Linked DNA regions of Danio rerio. Each later gene encodes a partner of the first gene's protein in a complex. Links are inferred from orthologs where the notes say so. Each region holds a gene or a part of one and is shown on either strand. Other genes may lie near its edges.

Region 1 (4,212 bases):
TTACATCAGATGCTATAGTATTCGCTAAGGACAGTTTTTTTGATGGCATGTTTGCCCTAGACTAACCAAAACATGCTGTAATGTACTCTATTAAATAATTTATTTGGATCTTAAATGAAAATTAATTTTAATTTCATGCATTTTTCCACTCAAAGCAGTAATCCCCCATGGTCTTCTCCCAATGTATAGGCAAAGAGTGCAAATAAAATAAAATTAAGAAAAATAAAAAAAGTGGACATCATAAGTGCATTCGCAGAGCCCAGAGTTTCCACTTTATGCAAGAACAAATATTTAATTATCCATTTAGTAACATTTTACGATTATCAAGCAAATAATCAGATTATCAGATTTATCCCAAATCTCAGCACAATTCAAACCTTTCAAGCATTTTAAGCAATACCTGCACCAGTAAGAGCTCTGTTAAATGTGTTTGCAGCTTATTATAGCAAATATTATTACTAAAACTTCAACATTATTTATATAAGTGTGTGTTTTACCAGGTCTGTCCCGTCCTGCGTCCATTAGGAAAGTGTGGAGGTAATTAGACTCAGCTTGTATTTATGGCTGAGCATGATTAGCTCATTAGCTCTTCAGGCTTTTGGGAAAAGGGGATCTTTTCAGTGGATAAATACTCTAAACACGTCTATAATCACAATGCTTGATCATATCTATATTTCAATGCAGATGAAAAACCAAATAATAAGATTTGGGTTTAGTAATTAATTACTAGCTCTGAGTTTTATCGCCATTTTGTAAAACAAAAATCGCTATCTGAATGAATCTTCCGGTACATATTCATAATTTTACCAACACTCATTTTATACTTTAATGTCATACTTTAAACGTTTAATGTTTAATTATGACATGTCAAATCGTGTTTTTACGACTTTTAGTTGTTAAGTTTTTTAAACGGAATGTCAGAAATACGAGTAAAGGACTATTGAATGGGCAGTTCACGCAAAATCATCGTTTATCTCCCTTAAACTGGATCCAAGTTTCTTCTGTCGAACACAAAAGCAGAAAACCTGTAACCAATGACTCATATAGTATTTGTTTATCCTATATGGAAGTCATAATATCTTCTTTTGTGTTCAACAGAACTAATAAAAGGTTATAAACCATCTGAGGTTGAGTACATTTTCATTTTGGGGTGAACTAGCCTAACGTTACATCCTCAAGGCTAACTTCTATATTAGCCTCACATTAGGCTCACAATACTCGTTATATTGTTAACTTTGGGGCTAACATATAATTTAGTCTTAAGGATGTAGGCTACTAAAGGGATAAATCTATAATACATAAAAATACATTTACGTGTGTATACTTTGACCAAATGCGCGTCCGTGTGTGTTTCGCGCGCGCACGCATTTGTGCGTGACGTTCAGCCTGTGTTGGCTTTACGTCACTCGCGGGAATGGACGAGAAAAAGAAGCGCGAGATAGGAACTTGGGCGCGCAGCAGTGGATGTTTAGCTGCGAGCTCCTGTGCGCTTTTCAATGAAACTCTTTACTTAATTTGATCGACTGTCTAATTAGCATCACACATGAGTTTATGCGTGTGTTCTAGACTCAGAGTGTCCTCATAAAGGTCTGTATTATTGGCGTATTTTGATCAAACATCAGGGAAATGTCTTGGTGGGCGCGCGGGTAAGTACACTAAGTTTATTATTCGTACATGTTTATTGTTCATCTGTAATGGAGATTCACTTTAGGGCTAAAAATGAGACTTAGAAATGTATTCTGCCTGTGCATGTGGTGATTGTTGACAATAAGTTTGTGAATGATCCATTGAACCCCGCCTAATAGCACAAAGAGAGCTGATAAACGCGGAACTACTATAATATTAGCATAATAAAGATTTGCACAAAGTCAGATTTACAATGTTAGTCAGCATCACACACTGTTATAAGTTGTACATTTAGCTTTAAGACCGAGAAAAGTGCTTTATACTTTGATGACAAGCGTTGTTAATGTTAGCTGAGCTGCTAATAGCTCGAGATATTAGCTCTGAATGTGTATTGTATTTTAATGTAATTATTGAGCACATTTAGGGGGGTTAAAGTATTATTTTCTGAACTTTTCTGCAGTAAAAGTGTTGTTTTTTTCCCTTTGGTGTTAATAGACATTGCTTAGCAAACACAAGGCCCTGATAAATGGTGTCAGACAGTGTTTGCTGATCTGCGGTCAGTGTTGTTTAACGTGTATGTGTATGTGTGTGTGTTACAGTGAGGATGAGGAGGAGGCCTTATGCCAGGACACAGACTCTGATGTAGCTGACCAGAGAGATTGTGGGAAGGTGAAAGTCAAGTGGACACAAGAGGAGGTAAACACAATTCTCTAATTGCAGAATCTAAACAATATTGGGGTGAAGTTATTTTTGAGGTTTCATATTCACACATTCGTATAGAGGTAAAGTTGGTTTAATATTCGGATTTTCTGACGTTCTCCTTAATAATATCATTTCAGAAAAGTGTTCTTTGCAAATTATAAATAGGAAAATCATATTAGCAGCCAATGCTTATCATAGTTTACAGTCAGTTAAATAGTGCTAATGTTGTTTTGAACTCATACTTGCATGCTAATTCTGATAGAATATTTAAAAAAAAGCGTAGTAAACAATATAGAGACAGTTAAATTAACGAATGTGCGATTTATAAAACCAACTTTACCTCAATTACTTTCCTTTAGTGATAGCTTGTGACATGCTTCCGATAAGTTCCCATGGTACTTTGAATATTCAGCCTGAAATCAGATGTAAATGTGACTTCAAAATAACATTAGCACTATTTATTTGACTTTTAATAATGTTGTACTTTGATAGTCACTCGCTGCTTATAAGATTTGTATCATTTAGAATTAGCAAAGAACACTTTTCTGAAATTATATTAATAAGGAGAAAGTCAGAATTTGTGAATATAAAGCCAACTTTACCTCAGCAGCAAATGACTATCAAAGTACAACATTGTTTACAGTCAAATAAATAGTGCTAATGTTGTTTTAAACTCATGTTTACATCTGATTTCAGACTGAATATCCAAAGTACCATGATAAACCACATAGGGAGCATGTCATAAGTTGTCACTGAAAAAATGAGCAACTATATATAAAGCCAACTTTACCTCACTTAAAACAGTCACTTAATAGTATCTTTAATGTTTTTCACATCAATAAATAGTGTGTTTTTGTTGTTGTTTTTTTCTTAAATTGTGACTTATTGTTACAGTCTTAAAGATGGTCAGTCAAGGGGAAGGAGAGTAACATTAATTTTGGGTGAAACATGAGCAAACACAATATTTACAAGTGAGGGACAAAATGCCAAGACTAACTAAATGCAATAAAGTGAGTTTATTTACAAATATAGTGATAATAATAAATGCAAAATTATGGATATTTAAACAATAATAAATATTTACAAAAATATATTCACAATTGCAGTCAACAAATGTTTGAACCGATAGATGAGAGAATTGGAGAGATGAGACGTGGGTGGCGTCCAAACAGTAGAAATAAATAAAACAAAACAATACTTTCTACTGGCCCAACCAACTATCCCCCCCAAAAAATATATCAGTTATTGAAAAGAAAATCCTTTACGCAGAGTATACACATCATGTCACATCATGTTCATGTCTGGATAGACACTCGTACACTTCGGCCAATGTAGTTCATCAATTCCTCTATAGCACATGTGTTTGGACTGTAGGGGAAACCGGAGCACCTGGAGGAAACCCACACTAACATGGGGAGAACATGCAAACTCCACACAGAACCGCCTACTGACCCAGCCGGGACTCATACTTTTATTAATTAGACTAAATGATTGTATGAGACTCTTTTCAGTGTTGATGTTTTTTGTACAATGAATGTTTATGAAGAAACTGATATGATTGCTTGTTATATATTGTATTTTTAGTTTAGGTTTTGTCATGAATGCTGCTGATATGGCATTAAAACATAAATAAATATTGCATATCTCTAATTTCATGTTCATTGGCATATCCCAGGATGATAAGCTGCGTAAACTGGTGCTGAATGTTGGATCAAATGACTGGAAATACATCGCTGGATTTTTACCTGTAAGTGTGTTTATCATGCATTCAGAAAACGCACATCAGATGTTATTTATGCTTTGATCTATTGAACATTTGAGTGTCTGATTAAAGTTGAAATGCTGTAAGAGTGTGTTTGTTGTTGAAGAATCGATCGGAGCATC
Region 2 (4,218 bases), on another chromosome or scaffold:
AAGCTGTTTTATTTTCGGGGGGTGGTATTTGATTGCAAAAATGTCCTAATACAACTAAATACAAGTAAATAAAATCATACTAAAAAAATTTAATAAAATCAGGGTTTACCACTTTTGATAAATAAAATTCACTACAATAACCTTTTTTGGTCAAAAAATATAATAAAATATTTTTTTTTAATGTGTTTTTTATTATTAAATATTTATTCCAATCATTCAAAACTGAGGGACAGATGAGTTTTCGCATTGATCCCAGGGGCCAGCCTGATCACCCGCTAGTGACCTACACCTGCAGCTTCTCTGCGATGGACATCCAGCGTTCTCAAGCCCCGGTACCTAGCATGCAGCTCTGCACAAGAAGTTTGGCCAGAGGAGAAATAGTCATGCTCAACTGAGCCTGGTTTCTCTCAAGATTATTTTCCTTCACTTTCATCAATTGGTGAAGTTTGGTTTCTCGCCACTGGCTTGCTTGATTTGGGACTTGCGGAGATATGGATCAATGGATTTGCTCTTTAGTGTTTGGACTTTCAGCAGTGAAAAATTTAACCACACTGAGCTGAACTGAACTTCTACTCTGAAAACTGGACTGACACATTTTTAATTCACTAGAACTTCTACATTAAGCTGCTTTGATACAATGCACATCATAAAAGTGCTATAGAAATAAACAAGTTTTCAGCATTAGCATACTTCTGTGTTCGAAGTCACATGATTTTCCTTAAACTATTGTAATTCTGCTAATTTGAATTGAGATTATTTTTTCATAATATTGATGACATTTGAACTGTATGGTATTTTGTGGAATCTTGTGTATTTCAGGATCCCTTGATGAATGGGAATGTCAAAAGAACAGCATTTAGTTTAACTCAGATGACTCAATTTTGTTGAACAAACGTTGATGGGAAAATAAAATGTTAATAATATACTAATTTGTAGTGAAATGTGTACAAACACATGCTAAATGAACATGATTATTATATAATACTTGTTTTAAAATGTTAAATGCAGTACAATTAGTTTGTCATTCTGCAACTTGGCGTTTGTTTAATAAAATTGTAGTTAGTGTAAATATGTAATGCATCTAAAATATTTAATACATAAATATACAGTTTACACCTTGTTTATGTTCTTTTTGTTTGTTTGTTGGTGATCCTGAGATCCTTTAACGGGCCCTGTGTCTCATAGGAGTCACTGAACCACAGCTGAAGCCTGGTCCCGACGACATCTTTTAACTTGTTTTGTACGGCTTGGAACTACAAGAAACTTTCTCAAATGAATCTAATTTACCTCATGGGTCGTAATTTGTTTTTAAGAATCATATTTATGTACAGCAAACACATTTAATGTAAAATGTTTTGTTAGTTAGCGAGCGCTGTGGTGTGTTTGAACTGCCCTCTCTGTCCCACAATGCATCTCGGCACTCGGCCTTTGAAAAACCGGCGCGGCTAATTCAAGATGGCGGAGCTCGAGCAGCTGTTAGACGAGAGTGAGTAATAAAACTAACTCCTCGCTAAACCTTGAAAAATCCCCCTCTGAGTGTTTGTGCGGTTTAAAACGTTTCATAAGGCGTGCTATTCGCCGTACATTTCACGTGTCTTTCATTGTTTTGACTGGTGTTAAAATAGACGCAAAGTTATTAGCGCTGAGGCTAACAAGCTAACAGTTAGCTTTCAAAGCCTACTACTATAAATAAATATCGCACCTGAAGAGTTTTTCGCCTTAAAGTTTCGTTATGGTGCTTTGTTTATAATCAAAATTAATTTAATTACTGGTTTGCGGTTTCGCAGTGGTTATACTATGAAAAGGGTTTAACTTTTATACATTTACAGGGTCGTAACTCGATGACAGCTGCTGGGTTTTGTTGTTCTTGTCAGTGTCAGTTTATTTGTGTACTAAAACACTGTCCGTATGATAAACACATACTTTTAATATGCTGAAACACTCTTCAGGTGTGAAAATGCGCTCTTTGTATGATGCAGTACTTGTGTCTGGATAATTCTCATTCATCACAATAATTCACAGTGATTTTTTTCTTTCGGTCTTACCGAAAGCTTTGTTTTGATTGTATTAATAGGGATAATTGCGTAATCCGTCGTCTGTTATCTTGCTTGATAATTATTACTTTTAATATTTGAGCAGCTTATAATTGCAGAAAGATTATTATTTATTTCTAGCTTTGCTTTATTTAAAGTATCAAAACAATAAAAACATATTACAGCTTTTTTCACTGAACAATAAAACGTCCTGCTAAATTTTAAGCATAAAAAAGGCTATCATACATTTTTACAAGGATTATCAGAAGTAAACCACTAAAATCTTATTGGTGTAACAATAGTTTATCTCATCAGGCTTAGATCAAGAATCATATGATGTCATTATTCAAGAACAATTTAAGAATGGCTGTGCAGCTCTTTTAAATACTAATTTTCATTTTAAATCTTTATATTTTTAGTTTTATTTTATTTCAAACCACATTGTTTGATCAACAGAAGGTTCAAAACATTCTACAATGAAATGAAATTAAGTTTAATAGCACATCATTTTATGAGTACAGGTCAGAATGTTGTGTTAAATTTAATAAAATGTAAAAAGGGCATTAATAAAAAAGGGCATTATTTCCAGCTGCAACCCATCACTGGGAAGCACCCATACACACTCATTCACACACATACACTACGAACAATTCAAGGTCACCCAATTCACCTATAGCGCATGTCTTCGGAGTTGTAGGGTAAAACGGAGCACCCGGAGGAAACCCACGCGAACACTGGGAGAACATGCAAACTCCACACAGAAATGCCAACTGATCCAGCCAAGGCTCGAACCAGCAACCTTTTTGCTGTGAGGCCTATTTTTCATTTTAAATCTTTATATTGTAACTTTTTAATTTCAAACCACATTTTTTTTGTCAACAGAAAGTTTAAAATAATCTAAAATTAAATGAAATTAAGTTTGATAGCACATAATTTTATAAGTACCGGTCAGAATGTAGTATGATATTTAATTAGAACTTAAAAATGCCTCTTAAAGTAGACCATTATTTCAACCATATTTTGATATTTTATTACTTAAGTTATTTAAAGCATTAAAGTCAATGCTTTTCTTCTATTTATATAAGTCAGTTAGGGTTGTTTTATTTTTACAATAAGTAGTGTTGTAAAAACTGACAGTCGTATTCTTTTTTTAAATCTTCTTTTAGTAGAATTTTTCTTACAGTAGTCAAAGTCAGCTTTGTTGTCAATTCAACCACATGTACAGGACATATAGAGAATTAATATTGCGTTACTCTCAGACCCCTGGTGCCTAACATATAATATTTATACAAAAAGTATAATTTTAGAAAGAAAATACAATAAATACAATTGCTCATTTAAAATCTGAAAATATAAGTAAAAATAAAAATTTGTAAACAACACAATTACACTTAAGGGCACATGAGTTGTGCAGATGCAAAACAGTATACTGTGCAAAAAGTATGTATAATAAAAAACATAATAATACAATACAAGATGTTTTTATAAAGCAATTTAAAAACAACCAATGTTGTCAAAAGTGCTGTATATAGGATTACTAAAGACAGAGATGAGAATAAAGTGGAAATTGAAACAATTAATAAATAAAAGCAATAAAAAGCATCAAGGAGTATTAAAAAATATAGATAGGAGCAATTGCAAATGCTTGATCACCTCGTTTTGTTAAAGCATGTTTATGAAGTTGATCATCTAACATCACTAAGTTAAAAATAAAAACATTTCAAGCTTTCCTATTTCTGGGTTGCAGCTGAAAGGGCATCCAGTTTGTAAAACATATGCCGGAATAGTTGGCGGTTCATTCCGCTGTGGCGACCCCTGATAAATAAGGGAGTAAACCGAAGGAAAATAAATAAATGAATAAAAGAAGCGTAAATTCTTTTGTTTTTTGTTGTTGTTTTTTTTTAAAGCAACTTTAAATGTAAAACACAAGTGTAACCACCACTTTATATTGCCTTGGGGCTGAACTATTGTAATACCATGCACTAAAACCACCTTTAATCTGCCTGATAATCGGACTTTACTTCAGTGTTGCATTAATTGATTTTCAAGATTTGTTTTTGTTTGGACTTCTTAATCATATGTTGCTTTTGAAACTGTAATGTATTGTAATATATCAAACTCTTTGTTCTCTTCGCCTTCAGGCTCTTCAGCTAAAGCCCTTGTTAGTTTAAGAGGTACGTTTTTG

Evidence for each region. Proteins that work in one complex are often made in the same cells at the same time.
Region 2: the proteins of mybl2b (region 1) and lin9 are in contact, whole or in part, in a crystal structure (PDB 6C48), measured with the Homo sapiens proteins. The link is inferred for Danio rerio from reciprocal best matches to the Homo sapiens genes MYBL2 and LIN9. Residues at the interface, in NP_002457.1 of Homo sapiens: Trp663, Ala667, Cys668, Gly669, Gln674, Met677, Gln678, Ala681, Arg682, Leu684, Leu685, Arg687; in NP_001353174.1 of Homo sapiens: Lys356, Gln385, Arg386, Tyr388, Ala389, Thr390, Val392, Leu393, Leu395, Glu396, Asn399, Leu402, Asn403, Leu406.

The regions. Positions count from the first base shown.
Region 1 is NC_133186.1:1,629,096-1,633,307, forward strand, and holds the start of mybl2b (v-myb avian myeloblastosis viral oncogene homolog-like 2b), read left to right. Parts: upstream 1-1,404; 5' UTR 1,405-1,626; coding exon 1,627-1,646; intron 1,647-2,225; coding exon 2,226-2,322; intron 2,323-4,003; coding exon 4,004-4,075; intron 4,076-4,196; coding exon 4,197-4,212. Other genes in the region: uncharacterized protein si:ch73-303b9.1, read right to left, coding at 498-522. UniProt on the Homo sapiens protein: Transcription factor involved in the regulation of cell survival, proliferation, and differentiation. Transactivates the expression of the CLU gene.
Region 2 is NC_133195.1:46,995,134-46,999,351, forward strand, and holds the start of lin9 (protein lin-9 homolog), read left to right. Parts: upstream 1-1,417; 5' UTR 1,418-1,455; coding exon 1,456-1,486; intron 1,487-4,174; coding exon 4,175-4,207; intron 4,208-4,218. UniProt on the Homo sapiens protein: Acts as a tumor suppressor. Inhibits DNA synthesis. Its ability to inhibit oncogenic transformation is mediated through its association with RB1. Plays a role in the expression of genes required for the G1/S transition.